Drosophila melanogaster: one gene and its partners. The protein of the gene in region 1 interacts with the protein of each later gene in a biochemical or structural test. Each region holds a gene or a part of one and is shown on either strand. Other genes may lie near its edges. The genes, in order: Grip91, Grip84 and gammaTub23C.

Region 1 (10,569 bases):
GGACTTCTGTTTTCAATTGGTAATTTCTAATACGACGTTCTAAAGTTGCGTTGGATTTTCGGGATCCTGAATCCCTTTGGTATTATCGTAATTATTACTATTTAACAGATTTACTTGGTATAATGCTAGCATGCGGGTTATTATTATTACGTTATTTCAACAATACTTTTATTTAATGCATAGGCCTGGCAAAAGGGTAATTAAAAATCCATATTCTTCCATCGTGTGAACATGTGCAACGTAGGGATTGTTTGGGAGGGGTTTGGTGGGGTGAATGTGGCTGGACGTCTCTTATCGATTGGTTTTTTATCACGGCAAACTTTGCATTGCTGAATTGTTGTTGTTTTGCTTGGACTTTATTATGAATTCTGTTGTTGTTTGTTGGTGCAACAACCTGCATGTGGCTCAAGATCGTCTTGGCGTGTTGTTGTTGCTTTTTGTTTTGTTTTGTTTTTAGTGTTTGTGCGAAGGTAAACATGGCTGCCAAGTTGCTGTTATCGACCTGCTCTGCCACTCCCACTTTAGTAGTGCTGCTGTTGTTGCTGCTGTCGTTGTTGTTACTGCCACTACTATAACTGCATTTGCATTTGCATTTCGCCTTGACAGCGGCTATTGCACTTTGCCACAGCGCGCGACAGCCACAAATGCAATAACAACAACTGCAACAGCGACTAGAATAGCAACAAACTGCAGCAGCCGCAAAGGCACAACAGCACAAACACCGCTCATTTTACACCCAACAACAACTGCATTTGACGCCAACGCAACTACAACTGCAAAAGTTGTTTTTTTCATTCTGTTTTGGTTTTTTTTTAAAGCTGAACTCAATGCCAAGAGACTCAGACATAACGGTTCATGAGGCCCAGTGCTGGCTGTTTTCCAGCTATATTCTAATAACTCCAATATATTCGCTTTAAGAATATATGTGAAATAAATTAATAAAGTATGGTATAGAATCAAGTTCTTGATCATTTTTAGTTAGTTAGCTTAAAGAAATCGTAGTTGTAATAAAATGGCAAATGCTTCATCTATAAAGTAGCCAAACTGCCAGCACAGCGCTACAACTGGCTGTGGTTTTTTTCTGAGGTCTCCGCTCTTTTATGCTTTTGCTTTATTATTTTTGATTTATTTTTATATATTTTGTTATTTGTTTAACTCTTGTATTTACTTGCTTTGCTGATCGCGCGCTTATCTTGCCTCAATTTTAACTGACTCTTCTACACCAGTGCACTTGTGTGTGTGTTTGTGTTTATAAATAGATATGTATGTATATTTCTGCATTTAGTACCCCACTTGGTCACATATTTATAGTAGCAACAATTAAGGCTCCAGCTGGTTTTTGCCATTGTTGTTGTTTGTTTTGTTTCTAGGCCAGAATCCTTTGATTGGCCAGCTTGGTGGTGTCCCCCTTTAAATATATAAAACTAGTTTTAATTTACCTCGCTCTCCCCACCTTCTCACCACCCCACTGCATTTGGTTCACCCGCTACTTTTGCACAGCTGTTGCAGTAAAGAGAGCAGTGGAGAGAGAGAACCTCAACGGGAGAGAGAGACTCCCAACGGGAGAGATAGAGAGAGAGAGAGCGAAAAAGGGTCAACGGTTGAATGAACTTTTGTGCAAATTCGTTGTTGTTCTTGTTATTGTTGTTACCAAATTTGCGCCAAGCATTTCGCAACTTGTTTTTTGTTTTCTCCTCTTTGTTTTCTTGTTCTTTGTATTATATTTGTTTTTTTTTTGTTTTGTTTTAGCGGCAATGCATTGCATAATTGTAATTGCTTAGTGCGTAAGGCAGCGCGAGAGAGAGAAAGAGAACGAGATAGTATTATGCAGTTGCATTTCACATGCATTTATTTCTTTGTTTAAGAAAAGCTACACCACTGCAAAGTCTTTTAAAAATAAGAAAAAAAACATTGTTTAACAATAGCAAATGTGTATCAGGCTAAAATGATGATTTGTTTACCGAACTTCAAGGGCCATTATATTTACTACTACTCGAATTGTGTTACCGATTTCTGATCAATTTTCCCCGTTTTATATTTGCAGCGGACGCAAGCGTTTCGTTTCGGAGGGCGACGGCGGCCACGTGAAGCCGACTACCTTCACCATGCGTGATTAAATCATAGGGACAACGGGGACGTTATATGCTGCACATGCTTATATGACCACTGCCCCCAGCCACCCAATGACAACTAGAGGAGCAACAAGAGAGAAGCAAACATTAAACAAAAACAAAAAAAAAAACACCAAATTACAAAAAAAAAAAACGAAAATTCATACGAACGCAAAGAATAAATACACCATTTATAAGAAACAAAAGACGATATGAAGAATTTGTCGCAAACTTGATAAAAAGAACTTATCCTCAGAATCCAGATAAGGACACAAACGAAAAACAAAAACAAGCAAAAAAAAAAAACCACAAAAAAACAAACAATCAATCGGAATTTGATCTCCGTTTAAACTATATTCATTATTATACTACATAAACACCTACAACGTATATCTTACCTACATGTAACTACCAGCGTAATTCGAAAGTATATTTTAAATATTTGTTAAAAAAGGAGATATGAGTGAAACGATCACAAAAAAAAGAAAAAGAAAGAAGAATCCAGCCAAAAGTATGCGGGGAACCACGAGCAGGAGCAACAGGAACAGAGATGGGTCGCTTTTTGTGGCTAGGATCTCACATAAAGGATGCGAGTGGGCGTACTTAGCACGACCGTCATTATGCCACATGAAATCAAAGCATATTATTTACATGAAACTGTTATAGGCACTCGTACACACACACTCACACACACCTCTTGGGTTGATTGAATTGATTGAATAACTTGTATTTGGAACGAACCAATGATGATGATTTATGCTATCAACGCAATCAAAACTCTGATGATTACACAAAACAAATTCCATTGACTTGAAATTGAGAAAAACATTTATAATATTCCTATGCGCATCGAAAACATGATTTTCCTTAATTTTTTTGTAACTTTGTGTGTCAGAAGACTAACATAATTAAGCTTAATTTTACTTTATACGTATATTTACCCACGGATTCATCTTATTCTGCTTGCTTTTTTTTTTTTTTGATTGAATAAAAGCTGCATTTTATATGATAAGAAAAAGACTTTGTTTTCGCCGCACTTATATTTTAAAATGTTCACACTTCATGAAGAAACAAAATTCGACATATTCTTAAAAATGCGCGCCCACACATCTATATATATTTAATATATATATCTACATATATATATATATAAACTAATGTGTTAAAAGCAGAAAATATACATCAAAAATAAAAATTAAAAACATATTTTAATGCGTTTTCAATGGGCAAATTCGTTTATTTAGTTGGAAATAATTTAGGATCGGGCCAACATTTATTTTGCTTTTTTTTCGTTACAGAAATCTCCGGATATTAAATGCAATTACGTATAGAAGTGAGTAAGGTAAACCGGATGAGAGTTTAACTATGTTCTAAATTAAATACCGGAGGTTTCTGTTTCAATACACATTATATACATTATATATTATTTCACATATTATTTCGCGTTCAAATCTGGTGGCGAAGAATCCTTCTTGGTCACCGGTTCACTCGGTGGTTCCAGCTTGATTTCTGGGGCTCAGGATTAGCCCACATATTGCTAGGTAGTTGGGTTGGCTGCTCCAGGTACTGCTCCACCGCATCCAGCTGCTGATGGCCCATTGCGACGAAGGAAAGTCCTTGTCCATTGGAATTCCAAGACATCCTTGCAGCACCTTAAGCTTTAACTCCCCCAGCAGTAGGTATCAAACACGACTTGTAGCCAATTACAGCCGTTGGTGTGCTCCATGGCGAAACGCAGTTGGTCAGTCTCATCTATGTCTTCAGCCTTTATATTAAATATTAACAATTTTAAAGTTTACCATTTTTGCTTACAAGCAATTGCAAATGCAAAACGGACAGTGTGACCAGGCGAGTGAGAGTTGGAAACGTTTGCGGCCCCAGAGCTGTCAGATGTTTGCAATGGAATTAACATAAAAGCTGAAAGCTGCACTTCTAAACATAACTGTTATACAAAAATGCTACATTCAGTAACATTCCGACAGAAATACATTTTTATAGTAAAATGTAGAACGATAATCAAAATGGCATAGCCTATTGCAGACGAGCGCTGCCAGATCGCTGCACCTTCGGCCAGTGTGTGCCCGCCAGCGGCTAGGACTTTGCCTTGTCAAGTTTCCCAGATTCGGTAACACTGCACTAAATAATTTTAATAAATTATTTGTATGAAGTACGCGCCAATTGGATGCGTTTTTGTCCTATCTGTCGAAGATTTCACGCATCCCGAACAATTGCCAGTGACTGCACGCCGTATTATAGCCAGGGAACAGCTGTGCGTTTGCCATTGGCCAACAGTTGTTGTCCACTTCGCAATTACCAAGCCATCCAAAATCGGCTGTTTAACGCGCGCTTGATTGGATATTTATGAACAATTCAGTGCACCAGGATGTCGCAGGACAGGATCGCCGGCATCGATGTGGCAACCAATTCCACTGATATATCGAATATCATTAACGAGATGATCATCTGCATCAAGGGCAAGCAGATGCCCGAAGTTCACGGTGAGATTTGGGAATGTGCAATCACTCACTGGCTGTCCAGGCACGCAAGGCATACGGACTGCTCTGGCATTCCGGGAAGAAGGCCTCCACCCTTGGGAATCGACCACGTGCTTCAGGATTATAGTTAATCCCAGAAACTCAACATATTTCATGGCATTTTCAAACAGAGAGTCCTTGAGATATGCAACTAACAATACATATACTTATATTTTTATAGTTCTAGATTAAATGTAGCAATAACCATTGCCAAAGTGTGTTGCATAGTCGTAAATGTTCAAAATTAATGTATATATCCCACAAACAATTCAAAGTATTCAAAGATATTTATCCGAAAGTAGATAGTTTTGAATTGTTTTTAAATGACTATTGATCACATATACTTAACTATAAAAGTATGAGCAAGTTTCTTAGATCCTCAAGGTCCTCAATACGTACAATTTCCAAATCAATGAATCTAAGGATACGTAATGCAACACATACACTAGACACTATACATAATTGTAGGCTTCATTGCCCTTGTTTTAATGCACTTTGTTCAATCTTTTGCAGAAAAAGCAATGGATCATTTAAGCAAAATGATTGCCGCCAATAGTCGGGTCATTCGGGACTCAAATATGTTGACTGAGCGCGAATGTGTCCAGAAGATAATGAAACTGCTGAGCGCCCGGAATAAGAAGGAGGAGGGCAAAACTGTGTCGGATCACTTCAATGAGCTGTACAGGAAACTCACGTTGACCAAGTGCGATCCGCACATGAGGCACTCGCTAATGACCCATCTACTTACGATGACCGACAATTCGGATGCCGAAAAGGCAGTTGCCAGCGAAGATCCACGTACTCAGTGCGATAATCTCACTCAGATTCTGGTCAGTCGTCTTAACTCAATAAGTTCCTCCATAGCCAGTCTGAATGAGATGGGAGTGGTCAACGGAAATGGAGTAGGAGCAGCAGCGGTAACAGGAGCAGCAGCGGTAACAGGAGCAGCAGCGGTAACAGGAGCAGCAGCGGTAACAGGAGCAGCAGCAAGCCACAGTTATGATGCCACACAGTCCAGCATCGGATTGAGAAAACAGTCCTTGCCCAACTACCTGGATGCAACAAAGATGTTGCCCGAGTCTCGACATGATATAGTGATGAGTGCCATTTACTCCTTCACCGGCGTTCAAGGGAAGTATTTGAAGAAGGATGTGGTAACGGGCCGTTTCAAGCTGGATCAGCAGAACATCAAGTTCCTGACCACCGGCCAAGCGGGCATGTTGCTGCGGCTCTCCGAACTTGGCTACTACCACGATCGAGTGGTCAAGTTTTCGGATGTATCGACCGGTTTCAATGCCATTGGCAGCATGGGCCAGGCCCTGATTTCCAAACTCAAGGAGGAGCTGGCGAATTTTCACGGGCAAGTGGCAATGCTTCACGATGAAATGCAGCGTTTTCGGCAGGCCTCGGTGAATGGAATTGCAAACAAGGGGAAAAAGGATAGTGGGCCCGATGCTGGCGATGAAATGACGCTATTCAAGCTGCTCGCCTGGTATATAAAGCCACTGCACCGGATGCAGTGGTTAACCAAGATTGCCGACGCCTGCCAGGTAAAGAAGGGCGGTGATTTGGCATCGACCGTTTATGATTTCCTTGACAACGGTAACGATATGGTCAATAAATTGGTGGAGGATCTCCTAACTGCCATTTGTGGCCCACTGGTGCGCATGATCTCCAAATGGATTCTGGAGGGCGGCATTAGCGATATGCATAGAGAGTTCTTTGTGAAGTCCATTAAAGATGTGGGCGTTGATCGGCTATGGCACGATAAATTCCGCCTACGATTGCCAATGCTGCCCAAGTTTGTGCCCATGGATATGGCCAATAAGATACTCATGACGGGCAAATCCATTAATTTTCTAAGAGAAATCTGCGAGGAGCAGGGTATGATGAAGGAGCGCGACGAACTAATGAAGGTCATGGAATCTAGTGGTGAGTTAAGGCATGCTCTTCAAATTGGATTAGCGAAATCGAATGATTTAAATGCTCCATGCTCTTATCTACAGCCTCTCAAATCTTTTCGTACACACCGGACACCAGTTGGCATGCGGCCGTGGAAACGTGCTACCAGCAGACCTCCAAACATGTCCTCGACATTATGGTGGGCCCACACAAGCTGCTGGATCATTTGCACGGAATGCGGCGCTACTTGCTGTTGGGCCAGGGCGATTTTATTAGCATTCTGATTGAAAACATGAAGTTAGTTTTCTTGATGAATGTAATTGAAACTTTTCAATTTCTAATGTAACACTTGAAAATCGCCTTTTCAGGAACGAACTGGAGCGACCGGGCCTTGATATATATGCTAACGATCTCACCTCCATGTTGGATTCCGCTCTGCGCTGTACGAATGCCCAGTACGATGATCCTGATATTCTAAACCATCTCGATGTGATTGTTCAACGACCGTTCAACGGTGATATTGGCTGGAACATCATCTCGCTGCAGTACATTGTCCACGGACCACTGGCCGCCATGCTGGAGTCGACCATGCCAACGTACAAGGTGCTCTTCAAGCCACTCTGGCGCATGAAGCACATGGAGTTTGTGCTCTCGATGAAGATCTGGAAGGAGCAGATGGGCAACGCAAAGGTAAGTGGCTGGCTATTAGACTTCTTATCGGTTGTTTCGAGTGCATGCACATATTTTAGATTGCCAAGTGCCACTCAGAGTGCACATGGTGATTCCAGTGGTCAGCGAACTGCTAGCAAGCGGACTCTGCTTTCAATACACAAGTTTGGCTTTTGTTCCCAAGGTAAATTGGGTCAAACTTTTGACTGATTGGCTAGGAGGCAATTAGGGAAATTATAAATATATAGGGAATATCTTGACTTGTTTGAGTTCTTTGACTGCCTGATTTATGAACTTACCAAACCTAAAATCAAGCTTATCTGGTTGAGAAAGCTACTATACGGATTTTTAGAGGTTTTCAAAGATTACAAACAATTTATAGGCTAATCTGGCAACAGGCAGTTGTGGGGGAATCTATTTTTGTGGTTCGAAGTGAAGTCGAAGTTCGAAAGGTTTTAGCCAAGAAATCGACTACAAGAGCTTGATAAGATTGCCCGCTCTTGTAATCTAATCCGCAGCGATTACCCACTTACCGATAAAACCCATTTGTAGTATCAAAGTGCACAGGAATTTGTCGTTTTCGCCTTATGTATTATTTTCTAGTTTTGTAGACGGGTTTTTCCGTACAAAAATAACATTAATTATGTGGTGAAACAAAAACACGAATACAGATTACAAATTACACACACGAAAAAAAAAAAAAATTGTGTAAAAGGGAACACACACACACTGTCTCGTTGAGGAATGTGCTAACTGGGCTGGGTTATTGTTGATCACTCCTTTTTTACAACTTGGCGTCGGTCTTCAGGAGCGGCGCCAGCTTCTGGGTGAGCATGATGTTGCCGGCGATCTTCAGCTTGCCCTTCATGAAGGCAGCCTGGGGGTTCAGCTTGCCCAGGGCGATGTCAACCATGTCCTCGTCGGCGACCGTCAAGGTGGTGTCCACCTTGATGCCCTGGGCAGGTCCCTCGTAGGCCTTGGCGTTCTTGCAGTCCAGAGCTGAAAGTGGTATTCGTTAATAGGTTGTTCATTTGCTCATTGGACTTGGAATATGCTACCAAAGTAGACATTCGATTCTTAAAACTAGCAGATAACTTAGCGGATTTAACTTAGCACGATTTAATGTATGTATATATGACAACGTTTTAAAGTGACTTCTTGTGCAACAAGTGGCATACATACATGCATATATGGCAAGTATGTTGTTCTGTTGCTGTAATATATATTCTCTAAATCGTGCAAATAGGCAATTCAGTGGCTTTTGTTAATGCCAACAGCTGGTGCCGAAGTACAAACGCCGTGCACTTTGAACTGTGACTATTACAAAATGCAAAACACACACACACGCAAAGACGACGTACTAGTATTCTCCACTGGCCAGGAGCGCCAACAGAAGGGGGCTTAGCAACTGGGGGGTAGGAAAATCACCAACTCAGAGTCCGAAAGTCCCCTTCGGATTGAGCCCATCTATGTACATACGCCCCTGTGCTGCGCGTTGGGAGTGTGTGTGTGTGTGGTGCGTGTTTTTATGGGCTCCATTGGGCGATGGATAACTGATACTTACTCCACTCCTTGGCCACCTTGCCGTCCTTGGTGATTTTGTACAGGAACACACCGTTGACCGCCTTGGCCTTGGCCTCGTTCTCCTTCAGTCCATCGATGATCTTTTGGAAAACGGCGTCCGACTGCAGAGACATGGTTGTTGTTGTTGTTGTTGTGGGGGTATTTCTGTGTGTATGCGGTTTTGTTTTTCCGGAAGAATAAAGAAAATATTCAGTGGGCTTGTGCGTCGTAGAAATAAAAGAAAAGTGCTTACGCTTTGAGAGCGGAACGCGAAGTAATGAGCAGAAGGCGTGCAATCGGCGATTTTATTGTCGCTTTTTTCACTACACTGCCCCTGTTGTGTGGGAGCGGGATGGTCGTATAGCAAGTTGCCGGTCGCGATATGTCGCCCTCACTCGCACCTGTTGCATTCGCATAAGCCTTGTTGTGCTGTTATTGTCGCGCTCCCTCTCTCTCTCGCTCTCTTCCAAATGTTAGCCAGCTGATGCACAGTGGGCATGAACTCAAAATAAAGTGGCTGCACGAAAACCTTTTGCATATCAGATATAGCTTTTATTTATATCGTTTATGCGATATTTCTTTCATTAAGCTGAATTGAAATTCTGATATTTGATGATATCAGAATGAAAAAGTAAATAACTGTATCGATATCATTTGGTTTTCACCGCTTGTTAGCCCACTGTTACAGGTGTGGAGTTTAGACTTTAACATTAACATGAAACGCCTAACATGAAGCCGTAACAGCGGTTATCAGCTGTTGTCCACGATTTAGTGCAAAGTGCGCACCCAGTTTGAAATGCCCATAAAACGGCGATAAGGCTTGAAGACTCTTCAGATTATTTCGACAAAATATGTCACCTAACGAGCCCATTGAGAAAATATTTTTAACCCCCCAAATGCCATATATCGTGATTCGATTCATAAAACGCAAGCATTATTCAGTACTATTATTTTGCATTGACCAATGGATTTCAGTTAGTAAATGCATCAATTTATAGGGTTAAACGACAAGTAGAATGTGCGTTCGTATCAGCTTCACTTCCTTATGAGCTCTCGAACTTTTCCGGATCGATTCCGGCCTTCTTCATTTCCACGGCAATGGAGAAGAGATAGTCATAGCATTCCGACCTGGTTGTAAAAAGAGAGATAAACGATTAGGTCTATAAAAGTGCTCGGTGTCTGAGAATAAGTGAGGCAACCCACATGGTTTTGGCCTTCTCCCAGTTCTGTCCCCAAACGTAGACGCCGTGTCGTCGAACCAGGATCGCACTGCAGCCCGGATACTCCATCATGGCGGCGTACATACTGTCGGCCAGGTCGCGTTCAAAGGGTGTGTTCTCGATGATCGGTACGACGAGCTCCTCGTCGTAGCGCAAATATCGCTTGTCCGCCTCATCGTAGACGCCCTTGATCATCTCCAAGTGGGTGCAGCGGAAGGTTTTCCCTGGCCACAGGAGCGTGGCCATTACGGCGTGCTGCGAATGGGTGTGGATGACGGCTCCCGCCTGCCGATGCTGATAGGCCAGCATAAAGAGCGGCGTACATTGGCTCTTCTTCAGGCCCTTGATCTCAGGCGGCAGTTGCAGATCCTTGCCGGTTATATCCTGCACGAAGAGATCCTCCGGCTGCATTCGCTCCTTCTGGACGCCCGACGGTGCTATGTAGATCTCATCGCTGAAACGGATTAACCGGCTTATATGGCTGTCTGGATAGATGTATAGTATCACTTGTACTCACTTGTACTTAATGCTCATGCCACCTCCTGTGCCGGTCACCCATCCCAAATGATA
Region 2 (12,249 bases), 5.8 Mb from region 1:
AGTATAAAGTATACAGGAAAGCGATCTTTGTCCGTCCGTATAGCTTTGTCCGCATGTTTGTCCGTTTCTATTCTGCCTATTTTTAAAGTTTTTTATATTTATATTATATTAATTAGAAACCTTATTCTTGATTTAACCCTTAAATAATATTTCATTACTCAGCGACCAATGCAAATTGTGGTTAAAGAGAATGGGAAAATGAACATAGCTTCTTTTAAAAGCAATCATGTTAAATTAAAACTTTTACCATTCACTATTTTCCATATTTTCCACTAAAAACAAAGTAACACTTAATTGTAGGAAATAACTATTATTACTATTTGTACACTTATTGTCTGTAAGTAGTGCAAAGTTTCACATTCTAAGCTAGGATTAATGTAGACAGCCAAGTTGGCGTAGTTTTCCGGATGCATGAGTGCATAACCAGAAACAAAAAATCCGAGAATTCAAAGGGCATTTGCAATTGGAGAAGTCAAATCCTCAAATAGGCACTCCGCACTTCGTCCTAATCCAAGTGCGCATATGCTCGATTTGGCGATGAGGCGCCGACGCATTCGTACGATAGGAGGGATGGAGATGCACAGGAGATGCGCGATGTGACCAGGACCAGGACCTTGCCGGATGAAGTCATCCTCTCAAGTGACTGCGATAGCCAACACCTCGGGGTGTCGCTCTAAAGCGCACATTTGTCGCACCGAAGGGGAAGGAGCTGCGACTTGGGAGCAACCAGGATAAGCGAGGACGGCCTGATGGACAACTGCGTGAATCAGGGCCAGCGGATGAAATCTCCAGTGCCTCGCCTGCTCACTCTGTGGTGGTGGTTGCTTCACTCCACTCACTGCTTCACTTTGTCCGATTCCACCCGCCGCCAATGCCATTGCCATTGCCATTGCCATTGCCTATCGAATCCATTCCCATTTGAATCCCTCCTCCCTGAGATTTTCGCCTTCGTTCCCATTGCCGATTCCGATTCCGCCTGCACTTGCCCTAATGTGTCGATGTCAATGTGCTGGTAATTCGAGTAGGCAAGGACTCGTCCTGGGATGTGCCTCTCGGAGCGTCGGATGGCAAGCAATTGTGAAATTGTAACAACCATTCTAGCCAGGCGAGTCGATTCGAACGGCAGGAACAACAAAGAGTCACTGCGATAACAGCCAAATGAAGATCAAATGAATTGTGGAATTATGCCACAAAAATTCGAAATCAATTTGCACATGTGTTCCACTCCCTGCCCACCCTCCTGTCAGCTCCTCCTGCCCACTTCCACGGGCAAAAGCCAGTTGCATGTCCATTCCCCTTTTCTTTGTCGGCGGAACTCCTGCGAGTGGCAAATTAAGTCAGTTTGGTTGGGTTAATTGTATACTTTGCACTTGAAGAAACGATGTTTTTTTTAGCTGTATTTAAATTTAAAATTCCATTTTTGCAGCATACTTTTGAACAGTTTTTGGAACATAAACAGTAGTTATGGTTACAAATCTACTAAGCAAGTTTTCAATTTAATTTGTACTAATTATCAAGTGTGAATTTGCTTGAATACATTCCAAAACGGTGTGATTTGAAATAGTTTTCACACATTCTACACTTAATCTACCTATAGATTTGGATATCTCTTAAAATTATAGCTCAATTATTAGCTGTGACTTTAGAAATTCCCGTATAAAGTTATAACGTACTTAAGTACACATATTAATGCTCACCATTTCGCAATCGCTGCAAAGAGGGAATCCAACTGGCGACTCCATCCGATGAGTGCTGCCACTTGCTGGCGAAATGCTTGTTGTGCTGGCATTGTTTGGACACCGAGAAGGAGCTAGGCTCGCCCCGGAAACCGGGCAGCCGTTTTTCGGAGCTGCGAGGCAGGTGTGGTGTGTCGACCTGGTCCTTTGGGCGTTCGCCTCCTTGCTGTGGGTGTGGTTGCGTGCGTAGACGTCAGCGCAATGCCTTTGTTTGGCGGCATGCGGATGACATTCACGTCCGTATCCGCACACACATCCGCATCCATATATCCGCAACCCCCGACCATCGCCAGCGGCCTTGCCCCCGGCCATTGGCCCTCCAGGACGAACAGGACGAGCAGGACATCACCCAATTTGCTGCGACACGTGCCTCCACTTGGCCAACAGCAAACAAACAGCAACAGGAGCAGTCAAGGAGTCAAAAGAAGTCAAAAACCGTGTCACGTGTGCGGCTGTGTTCGCTAATTTCGTCACCTCCTCTTTTTTCCTGAAGCTTCCTAATTTCGCACGGAATTTTCGGCACTAACCACCTCATGCACTTGGTCCAACCAGAAATCCGCCCCACCAAGCTCACACAAAAAGTATAAAAAAAAAAGAGTGCCACGCCCACAACATGCGAATAAAGTTCGCCAATTTTCATTGGGATTGTTCGGGATTGTGGAAAGTGTCTGTCTGATTTTCCGGGTTCACGTGTATATGGGTCATGCTTTGAGTGGCAAAATCTATTAAACTTATTCAATGCAATCATTTCATTTGTTTTCGATCCCCCCCCCCCCCCCTTCCCTTTAAAAAGCACTCGACCAAGTTAACCGGATAAGTCAGATTATTTGAAGATACCGTGGGGATCCAAGAAGGTACATACTTCATTTTGAGTGGTAAACATACAAATACTTTCATTGGGCTTTTTTTCTTAAGAAAATGGAATCGAATTAAAGATGGCCTTCAAATTTTATAATTTAGTGGTTTCATTAAATGGAAATCTACTCTTTGAAATGGGTGTTGCTTCTATATTTAAGCCAAAACTAGTTAATATTCAAAGAAATACATCTAATCGAACTAGGAAACTATTTAGTATCAACTGAGACTTGAGCTGATTGAAAGCTATCGCATTTTAGAGTCCAAAATTAGAGCATATTGTATATTGTATTGCCTAATTAACGGATACCTTGATTTTGGTAGGGGGAGGGGGAGGGGCGTTGGTCTTTTGGGGGGCGGGATTCCTTCTAAGTGGGTCGCTTGTAGTGCGGCCCATTGTCCAAGGACACGTGTCATGTGGAAGCTGGAGATGGAGCTGGTGGATTGCTAGAGTGGCGGATGGAAGAAGGACGAACGGATGAACGGATGGGCGATGTGTCGAGCCAGGCACATCCGTCCTGCTGAATGGCCTTGTAATTGAATAAGCTCAAGCCTCGTCCTGCCCATTATATTATACATTCTATATGTATTATACGAATGATATTTTTGAATGATTTCAGAATATCTAGAATCTTGGTATTCGTGCAAAAAGTTTCCAGGACATTGAGCTGTGTGACAACAAACTTGTCGGCACTGGAGTACTAAATATATTGCACATGTTCATGCATGTTCAACATATTTAGCACTCAAGTACCGAAAAATGAACAACGAAACGAAAAATAACACGAACATCATGCTGCCCATTATATTATACACTTATTATTATTGTTTTTTTAGAATATCTAGAATAGGAGAAGTCTTGGTATTATGGCAAAAAGTTTCCAGGACATTGACAACCTATATATGTATGTACTTGTCGGCACTGGAGTACTAAATATATTGCACATGTTCATGCATGTTCAACATATTTAGCACTCAAGTACCGAAAAATGAACAACTAAAAGCGGAGAATACGAAAGTGCGGACCACCAAGTTATCCAATTGGCAATATTGAATTTTTGATTTTAAACACTTCCTACATCCTGTATGTGTTTTGCATCCGGTACAGATGTGGGAGTCGTTTGCACTCAGAGATTTCACAGAATTCGAGGATCGACGGATGCACTGGAATGTCTGCAACGGCGGTGGTGGGCATCGCCATGCAGTGCCGCGGCATTGGTGAGGCCATCTCCAATGGATTAGTTCTCAACATTGGATTAGTTATCATCAATGCCGGTGCACTGCACCTAACAACATCGCGCCGGGGAATCCCAACACAACGAATCAACAAACAAGGTATGCTTTAGATAACTCGAATATCACATCTTCAGTGTTCGAAATCTGATGAGATATTCACGTTGTCTAAATCATGTTTTGTACGAAACTACAACTAAGATTTCATATAGCAACAAAAAACTGCAATACATACAACTATAAACTTAAAGTGCGCGAGTGCCTTCCCTATCAGATACCCTATACTCAGATCAGATATTCATTTAAATTTTCATTTGATTTCAGCATAACTTTGCCTTGGATATTCAATTAGATTATTATCTAAAACCGCAAACTTTATTTAAAACTTATTGCTAACACTTTTCTTAACTTAAAATACTTTTTTTCTAACACAATATAAGATCGGAAGAGTAATAATGCAATTAAAAAATTGCTGCGTTTGTAAAACCAGCAAGCAAACGAAACGTCTATCCACGTAGTGACGAAGCGCACCGGGAGAGTGTTCGTCGAATGCGACGACTATCACTAAAAGGAGTTAAAGATAATGAGATAGTTTATTCACATGGTCGAATGGAAAAAGTTGACTTCGATGATTTTTGGGGAAAATGCAATGCGAGTGGAGGCTTTGTTTTTAAAGCGACATGTTTCGTCACCGTTATTATTGTTATTAGCGAATTTGTTATTGGGGGCTTTTCTGCGCACATTAATGAGCTGCTTGTGCGCCTTTCATTTGCATATGTCTGTAAATGCCGAATCGATGGATAGATGGGCTTTTGATTAATTAACATACATACATATATAGGCGCGCACAATCGCACACAGTCGATGGGCATACATATATATGGCTATGTGGCACTGGCCATCTGGCCATCTGGCTATCTGGCTATCTGGCTATCTGGCTATCCGGCTGGCCAAATGTCCAGCAGTCCAGTAGTCCGATTGCCGAGACCATTCGCAGGAAAAGGATAGACGAGGATGGAGCCCGGAGAGCGACATGGCCAAAAACCATAATTGATTGTCGATAATTCATGCGAGCTTAAATTGCCAATTGCTTGTGGAGTTGTGGGCGTAGGGTGGTCTATCCGGGTGCTGGGAGTTTGGGAGCCTGGATGGTGGGTGATGGGTGGTGGAGTGACGGAGATGTTATAGAGATGACCGTTGGACATTGATGACGGCTAATGGCGAACATACAAACGAACCCACATCCACTGGCGACTGCATATTTATATACTCCAATATTTGCAGATGATACATATAGCAGGGTATGTATGTATGTATATACATCTATATGCATATATATGTATGTACAAAAGTGGTTGATGGGGGGGGGGGGGGGGTGGTCACTTGCACCCACATACAAATGCCTAGAAATTGGCTTTTGTGGGTGTGTATCGGCTCGTACATATGTATGTACATATATATACATATATGTATATTTATGCCATGTGTGCTCCTGGACAGTCGGTGGCTCCAAAGCGGAGAAACCATCGGACAACGATGAAAAACCAGGAAAATTCCACTCGCCATATTGCGACTAAGGGAAATGGGCGCTGAGAAAAATGCGATTAAAGCGAATGCAGCACAACTTGTTATTTATGCCAGATTATATATAGCATATACTTTATACTTAAAAGCAGTCAATAATATTTTAGAGCTCAGATTTCGAGTTCATGCTTAATCGCAGTGCGAACTTGAAACTAAATCAGGGCATACTAAATTCGCAATATACATACATATGTATATTAAACCATTGAATACACATATATACATGCACATAATATTTATAGATGTTCTTGCACTCTTTATCATACTTAACAATAGTTCTTCGTTCTCATACTGATCTTTAGTAAAATAATGCTCTCTTCGCAGGGAACAATATATTTGTTGCCTACTTTACAGCGTAGCTACCACATTGATGCCCATCACGAGTTTACTAACATCAAATTTGGTTAAAATTCTGGATGGTTTCTTGCTTGCATTTGCTTCCACTCCAAAAATCCAAGTGGCTAGCTTAAATTAAGAACTGGCCAAATACCAACGACATAAGCTTCGTATATGAAAGGCTTCAGGATGGGGGAAAACCGCAAACCCCGTAGCAGGAGCAAACGATGATGAACATCCTGGAAACCAAGATCTCAGCTATCATTCTGATTCGATGTATAAACCAGTGGTGAGAGCTACCTAGGATATTTGTGCATTTCTAAACAGAGTGGCCAAGCTTATCGCGGATGACCTGGTTGACGACGAAGTACAATATCTTGGTTGGCGGCACAATCTGCAATCTACGCCACTGGCTTACGTTGCAATCGAAAATCGTGTCCAGTGCCGTAAATTGCAGTTGTGTGAACGCAAACGGCAGCAGCGAAGGACATTTTAATTGGTTTATTGGTTCATACATATTCGAATTTGTATAACTAAACGGGTAACAATTGGTGCGCTTTGTTGGATGGCAAATGAGAAGACATGCGTGGGGAATGATGGTAAATGTGCGCTTGTGATTATGAAATTCATTTATCTAATACTTTGTTCTTGTCTTTTCCGTTTCCGTTTCCACGTCCACATCCACATCCACATCCACATCCTTTCCTCTAGACGTGCTGGCTTAGCCAATGGCATCCTCTACACACATCTTGTCCATTTGATCGGTGTAGAAGGCATTGAAGTTGATGCGGTGCACCAGATTCATGAAGCAATCGGCGGTGTTCTTCTTCGCCATGCTGTTGATCTGCTTGAGGAACGATATCAGCAGTTGGGTAAATTCCAGATCAAAGCGCCTAACCCGCTCCGAAAACGTATCTGTCGGATCCAACGGGGTCTCAATCTAGCAGGGGACAAAGAAATCACAAGTTAATCACTGGAACATACATGTGAGGATGTCACAAATACACTGAATTTGGGGGGAATTCTTATGTATATACAAATTCTTCCCGAACTCAGGCTAATTTTGTGGCATCCGTATACACAAAAGTATAAGTATATAAAATATAAAAATAAGTATATAAAATATATAGATTAACCGCTTAAGTTGGTCTTACACAAATTGTTTTAACTGAATTTCAAAACATTTTTTCCAAACAATACTACGTTTTGTAAGTAGATTCATTAAGAAGGAATAATAATCAGGGAAAACTTAATAATAATCTACTTATTGTAGATTATTTCTGCATTAGTAATTTAATGATACCAGAAGATGCATTTAAGGTTTTAAAAACAAAAGAAAGCAAATGGCCTAATGCATAGGCAAGCCAATCAAAAATAACTTAAAGCATGCAATCCAAATTCGAAATAAAAGAAACAATGCTATCAAAATCGGGGCCACGCCATTATGCAATCCAGCTGGACACAAAACGGAAATGGGTCCACCGATAACGAAAGTGGGAGCGAGAACACAGGAACCGCAAGGAACAACGTGGTTGAGCACAAGCCTACGCAATACCTGTGGGCAGTGCAGGCTCTCCTGTTCGGATTCGGAGCTGTCCGCGCTATCACGTACCATCGACCTGAGCTCAGCGTCCTGAAAGTAACGCTGCGTGATCTGCGAAGGTGGGGATTAGCAAGGATTCCACATAGAGTTGGAAGCGTTGGCAAGCGGGATAGACATAGAGCATTAAGAGCACGGAGCACGGAGCACGAAGCACAGAGCAAAGGAAGAAGGGTTGTACGCAAAAATTTAGCAATTTAGCCACCCGGTACCCTCGCACTGTAACTGGAACTCACCTGGATGAACTCGCAGTACTTCAGGCAGATCTTGCAGAGCTTGAAGATCGAACGATTCAGATGCGACGACTCGGTCAGCATGCAGTTCTTAAGGCACGAGTCGAGGAAGTCCTGGTGGAGACGCAGAACGTTATCCACGTTCTCCACCGTCTTCATCTTTTCAATGAAAATGTGCCAGTTGGGCTCGATGATCTCGATCATCATGTAGTACTCCAGGTTCTGGATGGCATTCATCATACGCTGGCGCAGAGTGAACGCCGCTCGATAGAGACTAGCCGCCTGCGGCTCGAACTGCCTGGCAATCGAGTTTTCCTTCCAAATCCTGTTTGCGAGAGAAGAACTTAAATGATCGTGGGCATAAAAGGTTAAGGATCGGGAACCCACTTGCACAGTTGGCGCTCCACGTGCTTGCAGTAGAAGAGCTGTCGAAAGAGCATTTGGTACTTGGAGATGGAAATGTGATTCAGCACCAAAGAGCAGGGCCACTTCACCTCGTAGGTGAAAGCGAAGCACTCGAGGCCGCTAAGATCGAGGCGAGGCTGTGCCTGCCAGTTCTCCTCCTTCTTCATGATCTTGGACATTTGCGTGACCAGGTCGTAGGGCAGCAGCTCGCAGTGCAGATCGTCTTTGTAGGGATCATTACGCGCCGAGGAAATGCGAAGCGTTAGTCCCAGCAGGTTCTCTAGCGTCATGGGCAACACGTGGTCCACGTTCTTCGTCAGCTCGTCCTCGCAGGCGTCCATGAACTGCATGGTGAAGTCGCCTTGGTTGAGCAGCAAGTAACGCTTCACCGACTGTAGGTGACCCATCAGGTCGTTCTCCGTTAGCAGCACATCCAGCAGCATGCGGGCGGCAAAGTAGTAAGCGTCGTTGATGACGGACACGTGCCGCTCGCTGGTCGGGTCGAACTCTAGGTTCATCTCTTGCGTGGGCATTACGCGCTTGCCACACTGTCTGATCACATTGAGATACTTGCCGGTGCGCAGGATCTTATCCGAATACTTTGCCAGAAACGATGGTATTTGTTCGTCGCGCAAGGTATACCGTCTCTCCCAATAATCGTCGGAATAGTGCTCGGGCAGCTCGTCGCGATGGATCACTTCGTTGTCCACTACGAGAAATTCCCGGTGGCGGTCCACGATCACGCCCTTCTGGATCCACATCTGCAGCATTCGCATGTACGGCTTGGCCGCCTTGCGCACCAGTCCGATAATCAGCTGTTGTGCATCTTTGTTGCCTTCCAGCCGCTTGATCCGCTCGTGTAAATACGTCAACACTTCGGCATCCCGTGAATCGCTTAGCTGAATGATCACCAACGAGGACCAGACCTCATGCATCACCCACATCGTCGGCTGCAGGTAGTACAGTAGTTTCTGCAATGTTAATCTATTGTGGCGCAGCTCCTGTTCGGCTTGTACGATTATCAGCTAGGCTCGGTGGAAAAAAAGATTAGTTAGGGAAAAATTTTGCCACGACACGATTGCACATCCTTACATAGAAGTCGTGTGTAAGTTCCTGCAGTGCCTCATTCAATGAGTTCATCACCTGACCCAGGCCGTCGGTAGCCGCGATTATCTTCTGCACGCCCATGAAGTAGGAGGCCAATGGCAAGATTTCCCGCACCTGGTGTGTCAGCGAGCGATCGAGGTGCGTGTGTATGTCAAAGTCCGTGTCGTATTTGGCCAGGCCAACGGCAGAAATAATTGGCTTCTGAGGCACCAGGAGGCTTTCTCTTATGCCCGTGAGGCAGTGCAGCAGCTCGTCGAGCAGCATACTCTCCTGGCTGAGAAGCGGCATTGCCGCGATCTCTGCCCTCGGCACCTTGTCCCCGTCCACCTTGTAGTATTCCCACAGTAAATGGGTGCGGTACTCATCGGGCACATCAGTTAGCGTCACCAGGTCATTCGGCATTGACTTTGGGCTGTTGCCCGTTTTGTTGGTCACCGAGCGGTAGCCGCTCAAGGATTGATCGGAAACGGCATTAAGCACACGTTCCTTGATCTGTGTGGGTTGATCATTGATTATTTGAAGGGGCCAAGTAATTGGCAGCGAACAGCACACCATACTTAGTCTGCACTCACCACACTTAAGTCGTTGCGCTCATCCTTGCCCGCTCCACGGTTACGGTCCATTGGGCCGCGCCTGACAAAGACTACGGGTGTAGTGTCGGATTCAGTGGCCTTTTTGCAATTCACCGGCGTCGAGGTGGGAAAGTCCTGGGACTGGGTCAAGCTAAGCCTGGTGGAACCAGATACGTTTTGCGATGTGGTTAAGATTGTCGAGGTGCTTGCGATTGCCAATGTGGTGGGGACTGAACCGGCTGCGGAATTAACATCCGAAGTCTTGTTTCCGTGCGGCAAGCCCATCGCTGAAAGGCTAGTGGAACTGCTGCTCTCGGAGACTGGTTTGCATTCGCTGTATCGCTCGACGAACACCAGCAGTGCGTACATGGGATCCTTATTCTGCAGAATGTGCGAGATCTCCTTGGTCACCTCTGCGAAGTTGGGACGCTTCTCGCTGATGGACACCAGGACTTTGATCAGATCGCAGGCTGGCAGCCGCCGATCACTAGTGGCCCGAAACTCCCGAATGATGCTCTCCGGAGTTAGGGGCGATCTGTGGGATAAAAAATGACAGTAAACTATGGTGCCAATGGCGGGAAAGAGGCGGTGCAGGAGCAACGGCTAGATCGACTGGCCACCTGTGCACTCAATCCACTTACTGCGACTCGCTGATCAAATTGGCGAGCACACCGCGCAGCGCATGGGGTTTACTCATCACGGAGATGGCAATTTATAGTTCCGCGCTTCTCAATTTACAGTTATAACCGGCAATTGAGCTCTTTTTGAGTGCGCCGCTCTTCTCAATATTTTGTTGTTCTTTTCCGGGTTGCTTGAGTGCCGACTGCAGCGACAGGGTTGTCATCTGTCCTTGTAATGTTCTAGTTTTTTTTTCAATCCTTAGCCGTTTTAAAATCGCAGATGCTCATTTTATTTTACGCGCTTGCAGCAATTTCGGAATCAATTTAAACTGAAATGAGCAGCACAAGCAACTTGATGCAAATTGGCATTTGTTGGTATTTAATTGTGAGGATGTGGTGACACTGGTTGCTGGCGAAAAAGAGGGGTGCGTTTAGCATAGTTTACACTGGACTGGCCACTACTGTAACTTATTTGCGTTAAAGCGTGCAAAGCATTGAAAAAATACAAATTTTGTTAAATGAAAAAAGCTGTACATAAAAAATAAATAAGAAATACTTTCTACCCACAGATTAAATAATTGAAACTACTCCTCTATTATTTTATTCTATCTTAACTTTATATTCTTGTTTAATCAACAAAATTTATATCTGGCAACTGTTTTGATTTTAAATTGCAGGCAAGTGATAGTGTGAATGGCCCATAGAGCAGCGGACAGTGTGACCGTGCCATAAGGGTAAGTGTAAGACCGCACTGCTGAGCGCAGGCGCAGTCCAAATCAGCTGCTTTGCAGCGATTACAGTCGCGTCCCTGATCTTCTGCAGCCGAAATCCGTGGGCGTTGCACCAACACCACCAACGCACTGCACAAACCGCCCACCAAGGACACGGTAGCGACCGACCGGAAGCCGCAGAGCATACGAATCAACACTTCTGGCAAGAGGAAAGGAGCATGTTCCCCCACTTGAAGGGCCATGGTCAGCGGGTCAACCTGCAGTTGCTGCAGGAGGCCGCCTGCCGCGAGCTGCTGCAGCAGCTGGACCGCATTGAGGGTTCCAAGGTTATTGTGCTGGACGAGACCATGATCGGACCGCTGGACTTGGTTACCCGGCCAAAGTTATTCGCTGATCGAGGCATCCGTCTGCTGGCCCTCAAGCCGGAGCTTCATTTGCCGCGCGAGGTGGCCAATGTGGTGTACGTGATGCGCCCACGCGTGGCGCTGATGGAGCAGCTGGCCGCCCACGTGAAGGCAGGCGGAAGAGCGGCCGCTGGACGGCAGTACCACATCCTGTTCGCCCCGAGGCGGTCATGTCTGTGCGTCAGCCAACTGGAGGTCAGCGGCGTGTTGGGCAGCTTCGGAAACATCGAGGAACTGGCCTGGAACTATCTGCCGCTGGATGTCGACCTGGTATCGATGGAGATGCCCAATGCCTTCCGCGATGTGAGTGTGGACGGTGACACTAGCTCGCTGTATCAGGCGGCAGTGGGCCTAGTGCAGCTGCAGCGTCTATACGGTCGCATTCCGAAGATCTACGGAAAAGGAGAGTTTGCGCACAGGGTATGGGAGCACGCCAAGCAGCTGGGCCGGGATGAGCGGACTCTGTACAACGGCGACAAGGGTGTCGTCGATCAGTTGATCCTTCTGGACAGAAGCATCGATCTGCTCAGCCCGCTGGCCACACAACTCACCTACGAGGGGCTTATCGATGAGTTCTACGGCATCCGGCAGAACAAACTGACGCTGCCCGCCGAGAACTTTCCCTCTGACGGAGCCCTTCCCGGAGGCGGAGGCAGTGGCCCACGAGTCGAGGAATCGCAGTCGCTGCTGGGTGACACCGAGAAAAAGACCATCCTACTGCACTCCGGCGAGCAGTTGTACGCGGAGCTGCGGAACAAGCACTTCAACGAGGTCACCAAGCTGCTCGCTCGCAAGGCACGGGAAATTCACGTCCAGATGCACGCCACCTCCCA
Region 3 (10,130 bases), on another chromosome or scaffold:
GGGTGATAAAATCATTATGTGAATGACTCACGGGTGCATTTTGCAGCTAACCTGTTATTCTCTCCGCTTCCGGGTCCACTACCATGGACGGCTGGAAGAGCACATTCAATTTGTGCAGCACCCGCGGTGCCGCTGGCAGCTCCTGCTGCTCATCCTGGTCCTGCTCCTTCTTTTTCTTCTTAAGGAGCGCGGCTTCAAAGGCGTAAATGCACAACTCCGTAATGCTCACTCGGTTGTTCCTGTAGGCAGGCAAGTTGGTGGTCTCTAGGTCCAGAACGGCAAATGTGGAAATCTTTGGCTGCTCCTCCGCGTGCTCCGCAACTGCATCGTTCGGAGCCATTAAGAGCGCAACTGGTGGCTAAAAGTGCATGTACATAGTATGTACATATATTTCGTTTTATTCAAAATGTTTGAGGACCAACACGGAGTTCTCATTACATTTGCCAACACTACTGTTGCCTTGAAAACATAGAGATGGCACAGTGAACTATCGTGACAAACTTATAAACTCAGTGTGTGCACTAACAGAATTGTTAATTTAAAAAAAAGACGGTTGAAAAATATACCAGATTATTGCCCAATCTAGTCAACTATAATAAATGATTGGCAAGAAAGCGCGCTGGCAATACTAAACTTAAATTTGACACTAGGCTCCCGTGTCACGCAAAGCAGGCCAGGATTTGCTGTCTCTAACTCAGCGGATGAATTACACCTAATTCCTCACTTTTGCAGCAAACGTCGACAAGTGCAGTTAACATTTTGTGTGAGTATTAGAACTAACTAGAATAATTAGAAAATGGAGGCCACCTACCGCCAGGAACGGGAATGGCTCAATGCCCGCGCTCCCATGAATGGCAATAGTTCCGCCAACTATGGCCCTTATCGCGGCTATGACGGCTTTTTCGGCCAATTGGGCCAATCACAGATCCCAAATCAGACCCAAATGGGTCAAACTTTGAACGGCTCTGCCTCCTGGTCGTTCCCCTCCATGTCCTCTGACTACCACCAATCCCCTGCTGCCCCGCAGGCCAACTCTAACTGGAGCCGCGAAAGAGTCAACTGGAACAACGAAATGCGTCGCGACCCCTCGTATCAAGCTGAGCCAGGCAACACCATCAATCGCTCGTGGCCCGGCAACGGCGGCCCTTCCGACGGGAGCCATTGGCCCACTCCGAACTCATCCATGCAGGTGACATCGGGTGAAAGGGGACTGCCGGAACACATTCGCAAGGAGCTATCGCTCCTTGGCCCCGCCAAGCGCAAGTGGTTCTTTCGCTATCTGGACACGGGCATCAGCAATGAAAAGGCCCTTATGAAGGCCTCGGAAAGACGCACCAGTCCGGTACGTTCTGAGTGGTACGACAAGTCAGTTTCGGCTGACCGCGGACGCAGGCGTCCGGAGCAGCCGATTTCGGATGATCGCGTTCGCAAGCGTGCGAATGATGATAACTCGTCGGGCGGTAGAGCCCATGAGGATGTAAAGAAGCAGAGGGTCCCAGAGCCGTCATGGACCTCGAAACAGAATAGTATTACCATGGCAATAATGGCGGAAACTTATCCGGATTGCGAGCTGACTAATCAGCAATTGCATGAGATCGAAGCCGGCCTTGTGGAGGAGTTGAAAAAGGGTTGGAAGTCCAGCATCAATTTTGGGGGCATTCAATTTCTTACTGGAATGATCCAAGTTGTCTGCATGGACAAGAACTCCCGCCAATGGCTGGAGCATGCGATTTCCAAGATCACGGCGTTACCGGAAACTAAACTAATTTGTTGTCCGGAGGATGATATTCCGGCCACAAAGGGAATCACAGTCAGAGTACCACGTTCAGCTGATGAGCCCGATAAGGTCACGTTTCAACTTTTAAAAGACCAGAATAGCGACCTTCTGTCGAAGACTTGGGAATTTGGCCGTATAAGCCAGACCAAGGATGGCAAGGTGGTAGTAATAAGCTGTGGCAGTAAGTCTTACAACCTGGTGCAGAAGAAGGGCTTTTGCCTTAGCTACCGTTTTAACCAGCTCAATTGCCGCGAGATAAGTGGCAAGGAGGCCCTCAAGGCGGTTCGCAGCTCAGAGGCTAGGTCCACCGCCGAGTTATCTGAAATTGACCTAACCGAAGAGGACGGCGAAGAGTTCATTTCTCATCTTGATCTGACCGTTGTGGACGAAGTGAAGGGAGATGATGATGATGAAAATGAGAATGAGATGACTGAAGATCATGATGAGGTGGAAGAGGCAGCTGAAGAGCAACACGATGATGTGGAGTTCATTGAAGAGGAGCCGGGCGAGAAGAGCAATGATGTAGAGGTCACTCCTGAAGCGGAGGGCGAGGAGTGCGAAGAGCCTCATCAGGAGGAAGAGAATTGCAACGCTGAGGTGGTTAATGAAGACACATGCTCCTTGTAAGCAAGCCGATGGGTAACGGGATTCATGGTAACGAAAAACTTCCTTGATTTATAAAATGTGCTTTATATATCTAACTCTTTTCTTCTTCAATACAATAGGAACATTTTAAACTGAATAACACACCCTAAACATATTTGACATACGAAATGACATGACAACGGAACAAGGACAGCAGTATCGTGCAGCTTCACAAGTGAATTCTCACTGCAATATCAGTTCATACTGCCTCAAGTCGACATTAACCATAAGGATTTCATATTATAAAATACACCAAAGAAATATGTAATATACTTCTCAATAAACACTCACTACCACATTTAAAAACTGTTTTTTATTTAATGTGTCACATATTAAACATGATCGGGAAATCTCATGTGTAATTTTGCAACAATGGAAATACGAACGTTAAATATCGTAAAAGACGAAACAGCGTTTACATACATGCGAGTCATACCAACAATCGTCTTATCACTACTACTTAAGGATTTCGAATCCCATCGTCATTGGAGAATATTACATTTTAAAATACATTGGTTAAGATGCATGGCACGCATTTCTTCTGGCACAAGCGAACTAGGAACCGGCGCTGGTCACAGATCGACTATCCTCCGACTTGGAGTCAACTGGCCCATTTCCCCGCTTCACTGAAAACTGCATGTAGTCCTCACGCGTGGCTGCCTCATACTCTTGCACCAGGCAGTCAACAGTTTCGCGAGATTCGTCCAGCTCATTGAGGTCGTCCTTGAAGATGTCCTCGCGTCGAAACTGGTCAAGAAAGGCGCCGCGCTTGCGAAGCTTGTCATACTGGTTGAGAGCTCGCTCGAAAAGCGAGCAAATGCTGGTGTGGTTGGCCAGCATCAGTCCGGACACTCGATGGTTGCTCTGCACGTAGGGCGATGAGCGGGAAAGGGCTACCTGGATAGAGGTGGGGCCCCAGGGAATGAACTGGGCCATCTTGCGGTCGCGGATGCGCTGCAGTGACTTGTGCACTTGAGTGGGATCCACCTCGCCCTGGATAATGTTTAGAATGGAGATGTAGCAGTGATGATTTGACTTGTCGGGACCAGTGGACACCATCATGTTCTTGGGCTGCAACAGACGCCGCATTACATCTAGAACAGTAGTCTTTCGCACATTAACCAGCTGCTGGGTATGGATATCCGAATCGCTAGTCAGCGGCGTGTAGCCTGTCATGAGAAAATGCAGCTGGGGCGTCGGGATTAAAGGAGCCGTCAGCCCAATGAGATTGTTGTTCATGTAGGATGGATACCTCAGCGTAGTGGTGCTGACGCTCATTATGGTGGAGACCAGGTTGTTGATCTGCGAAAAGCTGGGATTCTGAATGTGCAAGCGATCGCAGGCAATACGATTAAGAGCAGTGTTGTCCAGGACAACCACACTGTCCGCAGCCGTAGTCAAACGTTTCAGGGTGAGCATGGAGTTGTATGGCTGCACCACTACATCACTGATCTCGTCCTGATTGGGAAACACACTGAATGTTTGGATAAGTTTCTTGGGATAGCGGTCCGCCAGGCGCTCCATGATAAAGGAGCCCATTCCCGATCCCGTTCCGCCAGCAATCGAATGGCAAAGTATAAAGCCCTCCAACGAATCGCTTCCATCTGCCTCACGGTCAATGATGTCGAATACCTCTTCTTGCAGCTTTTCGCCCTGGCTATAGCCTGAGGCCCAGTTGTTGCCCGCACCGCCTCCGTGCTTGGATAGGTACACATTTTCCGGATTGTAGAGCTACGGGAGTTAATAGTAGGTTTGGCGCAAAAAATTAAAAGTTATTTAGAGAGGACTCACCTTGGAGTAGACCGAGCCCATTATGGTATTGATCACCCTCGGTTCCAAGTCCAAGAGCACCGCGCGGGGTATGTAGTGGTCGTCGTCCGCCTGGTAGAAGAACACATCCTTGCGGTCCAAGCCATCATTGGCAAAGTCCTCCAGCACGCCGCTAGGGGAGATGCCATGCTCCAGGCACAATCTTTTCCAGAACTCAAAGCCAACTGCGTTTAAACGATTTTAGCAATGCAGATGGTACTCGTCCTGATTTCAGAAACCTACTTTGATTGCCGCACTGCCCAAGCTGCAAAGTAATTATTTCACTTGGCATTGTGGTGTGTTGTTTCCGGCCAGAATCGTCAAGTGAAGTTTCGCGTTTAAGGTCGAATTAGTCGAAATAAAATAAAACACAACTAAAAGATCGTCGAATTATAACAAAATTTTTAAAAAATCCCACAGCGGGGACGTACTTTGTAATTTTAAGAAAGTCCAGTGTTGATAACACCGCAGCGTTTAATGGCGTCCTCATTTGAAAGGTGGCGCAGTGTGCCCTCTGTTATAAAATATATATGATTACTTAAGACCTTTATTGTGAATTAAATAAATAAAAATAAACATTACATTTTTCTACTTTGTATTTTGGAAAGGCAAAAAAGTGTTGGAAATCTAAGACTATGAGTTAGAAAGATCGAAACATGTCATGAATATCAATCTAATAGTTCAATACTAAGCTTAACTTGAATATAATTTTCTATAAGAAAGTTTTTCAATTAGGTTATTGAGCTCCACCCATTTTGTACTACTAATGACGTCGAACTATTTGTACTACTAGTGACGTCACAATGTGCAATATTTGCTCCACAGTCGTGTTTTTCCAAGGAAGGCACACAAATAGTGTTGTAAGCAGACCAAAGTCAAGCCGACCGGCTTGCAAAAATCGCGTTGCCCGCGCAGTTTTCTTTTTGTTGATATCGGGTGCTGAACCAAGCGACAGTGGCTCTGCAAAACAAGCAAAAGAAAAAGCTGGAAATCTGTGGAAGTAAATACAAGTCATTTTTGAGAACCTATCAGTCCGAGCAGTAGAACTCCATAATGCCGCGTGTCAAGGCCGTGAAAAAACAAGCAGAGGCGTTGGCATCTGAACCCACTGACCCCACTCCAAATGCCAATGGGAATGGAGTCGACGAAAACGCAGACTCTGCCGCTGAGGAACTCAAGGTGCCGGCAAAAGGAAAGCCGCGCGCGAGGAAAGCCACCAAGACGGCTGTATCTGCGGAAAACTCCGAGGAAGTCGAGCCACAAAAGGCGCCCACTGCAGCCGCGCGTGGCAAGAAGAAGCAGCCGAAGGATACAGACGAAAACGGCCAGATGGAGGTGGTGGCCAAGCCGAAGGGACGCGCCAAGAAGGCAACTGCAGAAGCAGAACCAGAACCCAAAGTCGATCTACCAGCTGGAAAGGCAACTAAGCCACGTGCCAAAAAAGAGCCCACTCCTGCTCCTGACGAAGTGACGTCTTCACCGCCTAAGGGACGCGCTAAGGCTGAGAAACCAACGAATGCCCAGGCCAAAGGACGGAAGCGAAAGGAGCTGCCGGCAGAAGCAAATGGAGGGGCCGAGGAAGCAGCAGAGCCGCCGAAACAACGGGCAAGAAAGGAAGCAGTACCAACGTTAAAGGAGCAAGCTGAACCAGGGACAATAAGCAAAGAGAAGGTGCAGAAAGCTGAGACAGCTGCCAAGCGGGCACGCGGAACCAAGCGTTTGGCAGATTCTGAGATCGCAGCTGCTCTCGATGAGCCGGAAGTGGATGAGGTGCCGCCAAAGGCTGCTAGCAAGCGAGCAAAGAAGGGAAAGATGGTTGAGCCATCGCCCGAGACTGTAGGAGATTTTCAATCAGTACAAGAAGAAGTGGAATCGCCTCCAAAAACTGCAGCTGCACCCAAGAAACGCGCCAAGAAAACAACCAATGGTGAGACTGCGGTAGAACTTGAGCCAAAGACCAAGGCAAAGCCCACTAAACAGCGCGCTAAGAAGGAAGGCAAGGAGCCAGCACCCGGGAAGAAGCAGAAGAAATCCGCCGATAAGGAAAACGGTGTAGTTGAAGAAGAAGCCAAGCCCTCTACTGAAACCAAGCCAGGTGGGAAACTGTCAAATCAATGTAAATGATGAAACCATGATTAACTATCTTTAATCCGCAGCTAAAGGACGGAAAAAGGCTCCAGTCAAGGCAGAGGATGTCGAAGATATTGAGGAGGCAGCAGAGGAAAGTAAACCAGGTGGGCACATTGTCAACAATAACTTTAATATCAATGCCACGCTAATCATATTCTATTTGCAGCTCGAGGCCGAAAAAAGGCGGCTGCGAAGGCTGAAGAACCCGATGTCGATGAGGAGAGTGGATCGAAAAGTATGTTAGCGGAGCAATCCGGCTGCGGTGGAGCTGCCGTATTAAAAAGCTTGCAAACCATGCTCAACTTTTGTTTTCCAGCCACCAAAAAAGCCAAGAAGGCCGAGACCAAAACCACTGTAACATTGGATAAAGACGCTTTTGCCTTGCCAGCAGACAAAGAATTCAACTTGAAAATCTGCAGCTGGAACGTGGCCGGTCTGAGGGCCTGGTTGAAAAAGGATGGTCTGCAGTTGATTGACCTCGAGGAACCAGACATTTTCTGCCTGCAGGTTAGCTATCAAAGCTATCCACACAAAATTGAAAAACACTAATAATTCCATATATTTTAAAGGAAACCAAGTGCGCAAACGATCAGTTGCCAGAGGAGGTGACCCGACTGCCGGGATATCATCCCTATTGGCTGTGCATGCCAGGAGGCTATGCCGGCGTCGCTATTTACAGCAAGATAATGCCCATACACGTGGAATACGGCATTGGCAATGAGGAGTTCGACGATGTCGGGCGCATGATTACGGCTGAGTACGAAAAGTTTTACTTGATCAATGTGTACGTGCCGAATTCAGGCCGAAAGCTGGTTAACTTGGAGCCCCGCATGCGCTGGGAAAAGCTCTTCCAGGCGTACGTGAAGAAACTGGACGCTCTAAAACCGGTGGTCATCTGCGGCGACATGAACGTTTCCCATATGCCCATTGATCTGGAAAACCCGAAGAATAACACCAAGAATGCCGGCTTCACCCAGGAGGAGCGTGACAAAATGACAGAGCTGCTGGGCCTCGGCTTTGTGGACACGTTTAGGCATTTATATCCCGATCGCAAGGGCGCCTACACCTTCTGGACATACATGGCCAATGCGCGAGCACGCAACGTTGGATGGCGTCTGGACTATTGTCTCGTCTCGGAGAGATTCGTGCCCAAGGTGGTGGAGCACGAGATACGCAGCCAATGCCTTGGAAGCGACCACTGCCCGATCACAATATTCTTCAATATATAAGATGTACACTTCGTTTGTGTTTAAATGTACTTCTGGATTCGTCATTATTACTTTGTTTCCTCTCCATATATGGTTTTTATTGTATTTGATTATCCATCGCTGTAGAAATTGTACGTCCCTATCTAATCATTTCAAAATGCCATTACTCTATTACATTCTGTCATAGATCCACCATCAAAATTCGTATTTTTTTAATAAAGTGAGCTACTGCCCCACGTTCGAACTTTGTGCTCAAATTATTGGCCAAAAACGGTTGGATTTAAATTTTTAAAAATCGCTAGAGGTGATATAACCGGTCGACATCGATAAATGTAATCGCTTGCCTATCGGGTCGAACCGAAGCAATAACTAATTCCCGCCAATTTTCGAGCAGAACTCGATTTATTTTGCGGGAAATATATACATACATTATTTTTGCGAAATGGTTTTAACACCAACGAAAGATGGGCCCGACCAGGAGAGCATGCCGTTGCCGGCCGACAATGGGGAGTCACCAAGTAAACAGCAGGCCCCTGTCAATCGGGATGAGATGCACTACTTGGATCTTCTGAGGCACATCATCGCAAATGGAGAGCAGCGGATGGACCGCACGGAGGTGGGCACTCTGTCCGTGTTCGGCAGTCAGATGCGCTTCGACATGCGGAACTCCTTTCCTTTGCTGACCACGAAGCGCGTCTTCTTCCGCGCGGTGGCCGAGGAGCTGCTGTGGTTCGTGGCGGGCAAGACGGACGCCAAGCTGCTGCAGGCGAAGAATGTGCACATCTGGGATGGGAACAGCTCCAGAGAATTTCTGGACAAGATGGGGTTCACGGGGCGAGCCGTTGGGGATCTGGGGCCGGTGTACGGCTTCCAATGGAGGCATTTCGGGGCGCAGTACGGCACCTGCGACGACGACTACAGCGGCAAGGGGATCGACCAGCTGCGCCAGGTGATCGACACCATCAGGAATAACCCCTCAGACCGTCGCATCATCATGTCGGCTTGGAATCCACTGGACATCCCAAAGATGGCCCTGCCGCCGTGCCACTGCTTGGCGCAGTTTTACGTCTCCGAGAAGCGCGGTGAGCTTTCGTGCCAGCTATACCAGAGAAGCGCAGACATGGGCCTGGGCGTACCCTTCAACATCGCCTCCTATGCCCTGCTCACCCACATGATTGCCCATGTGACGGGTCTGAAGCCGGGCGACTTTGTTCACACCATGGGCGACACACACGTCTACCTGAACCACGTAGAGCCGCTGAAGGAGCAACTGGAGCGCACACCGCGACCCTTTCCCAAGCTGATCATTAAACGTCAGGTGCAGGACATCGAGGACTTCCGCTTCGAGGACTTTCAGATAGTCGACTACAATCCACATCCAAAAATCCAAATGGACATGGCCGTGTAGGCGACCTTGAAATCAATAGTTCTGGCTTACTTGAGCAAGCAGAATCTTCAACTGAGTAGGTCGCTCACAAATATCTTACTTTCGTTTCAATTTCCAGAAAATTAAACGAAAATTGTTAACCATATATGTATACAATAAATATTATTATAGTCTTCACGGAAACAGTTTTTAAACACATCATTTCATAGCTTTATTTGAATAAATTTTTGCTTTCATTCATCGTGTGTAGTGTGTGTTTGTTGTTTGTAAATTCTCAGAGTAATCCATAATGAAGTATAATTGATTCTTAATAAATCTTGCACAGAGTATACCATAAATATGCTATATAAATTTGCTTGACATTTTCCGCACTTAATATTGTGATTTTGTTTTGTTTCGGTTTCTTGGTTTTTGTCTTTTAAGTAATATAATGCGAATTTGAAGAAAAACTTTAAGGTTTCGCGTCCATATGAGAGAACACGACAGTAATTCAATATACAATTTATGCACTTTAATTAAATTGGAATAATTGTTTTCTGTTTTGTTCGGTGATGATTAAAGGTAAATACATATTAGCTACTACAATACGATACTGTCCACCAATATTTCGACTATTTTTTATAACGACGAGAAAAAAGGTTGCATAGTTCTTCATACATATGTAATATGTGGCATAAGTGTATTATGCAAGCTAACCGATAGACAAATATAAATAAGTTTGAATTATTATAATCTGTTATGTGGAATTCATATGTTCATTAACTTATGTTGAGCTTGAAAGAGCGAATGCCACTAGAGTTTCTGAGTTTCAGATTCAGTTAAGATTCAATATTTTTGTTTCCGTTTTGGCTAAAGTGATTCCTTCATCCGTTGCCTTTTGACTTGCGTTTAACAATAGTGCTTAAAATTAGTACCTTTGACTAAGTTCGTTTCGACTAAGATTTGGTTTTAATTAATTTATAATATATCTTAAGTGTTTCCATTTCTTGCTTGCTTGAACATTTAAACATATACATATAAAGAGCGTATTTCCGTCCGCAACTTACTGATGACTTGCACTACAAAATGTTATTCGATTCCTTGCAATATGATCGATAGCTGGTTCTTCTTAGAGGATGCTACAGCCGAAACAAAGATCTGGGCCGGGATAGATAGTTTGTTCGTACAGTTCAAA

What was found.
Region 2: the proteins of Grip91 (region 1) and Grip84 form a complex in vitro, tested with the Drosophila melanogaster proteins (one study listed by BioGRID).
Region 3: the proteins of Grip91 (region 1) and gammaTub23C form a complex in vitro, tested with the Drosophila melanogaster proteins (one study listed by BioGRID).

What each region holds. Positions count from the first base shown.
Region 1 is NC_004354.4:13,738,324-13,748,892, reverse strand, and holds the start of Grip91 (Gamma-tubulin ring protein 91), read left to right. Parts: upstream 1-4,209; 5' UTR 4,210-4,494; coding exon 4,495-4,609; intron 4,610-5,158; coding exon 5,159-6,577; intron 6,578-6,651; coding exon 6,652-6,844; intron 6,845-6,915; coding exon 6,916-7,237; intron 7,238-7,749; exon of another isoform or gene 7,750-8,000; coding exon of another isoform or gene 8,001-8,215; intron 8,216-8,780; coding exon of another isoform or gene 8,781-8,913; exon of another isoform or gene 8,914-9,149; intron 9,150-9,715; exon of another isoform or gene 9,716-9,822; coding exon of another isoform or gene 9,823-9,907; intron 9,908-9,982; coding exon of another isoform or gene 9,983-10,453; intron 10,454-10,516; coding exon of another isoform or gene 10,517-10,569. Other genes in the region: Pdcd4 (programmed cell death 4), read left to right, coding at 2,045-2,117; CG11151 (uncharacterized protein), read right to left, coding at 8,001-8,215, 8,781-8,913; CG11134 (uncharacterized protein), read right to left, coding at 9,823-9,907, 9,983-10,453, 10,517-10,569.
Region 2 is NC_004354.4:19,555,112-19,567,360, forward strand, and holds Grip84 (Gamma-tubulin ring protein 84), read right to left. Parts: upstream 10,654-12,249; 5' UTR 10,359-10,653; coding exon 10,303-10,358; exon of another isoform or gene 10,197-10,302; coding exon 9,662-10,196; intron 9,582-9,661; coding exon 9,075-9,581; intron 9,008-9,074; coding exon 7,965-9,007; intron 7,903-7,964; coding exon 7,581-7,902; coding exon of another isoform or gene 7,542-7,580; exon of another isoform or gene 7,399-7,541; coding exon 7,300-7,398; exon of another isoform or gene 6,685-7,299; coding exon 6,466-6,684; 3' UTR 6,229-6,465; downstream 1-6,228. Other genes in the region: car (carnation), read left to right, coding at 11,231-12,249.
Region 3 is NT_033779.5:2,967,452-2,977,581, reverse strand, and holds gammaTub23C (gamma-Tubulin at 23C), read right to left. Parts: upstream 4,692-10,130; 5' UTR 4,524-4,691; coding exon 4,475-4,523; intron 4,417-4,474; coding exon 4,214-4,416; intron 4,154-4,213; coding exon 2,978-4,153; 3' UTR 2,724-2,977; downstream 1-2,723. Other genes in the region: CG3165 (uncharacterized protein), read right to left, coding at 52-340; CG9641 (uncharacterized protein), read left to right, coding at 797-2,404; Rrp1 (recombination repair protein 1), read left to right, coding at 5,285-6,326, 6,388-6,465, 6,528-6,868, 6,931-7,590; Ts (thymidylate synthase), read left to right, coding at 8,012-8,977. UniProt on the Drosophila melanogaster protein: Tubulin is the major constituent of microtubules. The gamma chain is found at microtubule organizing centers (MTOC) such as the spindle poles or the centrosome, suggesting that it is involved in the minus-end nucleation of microtubule assembly.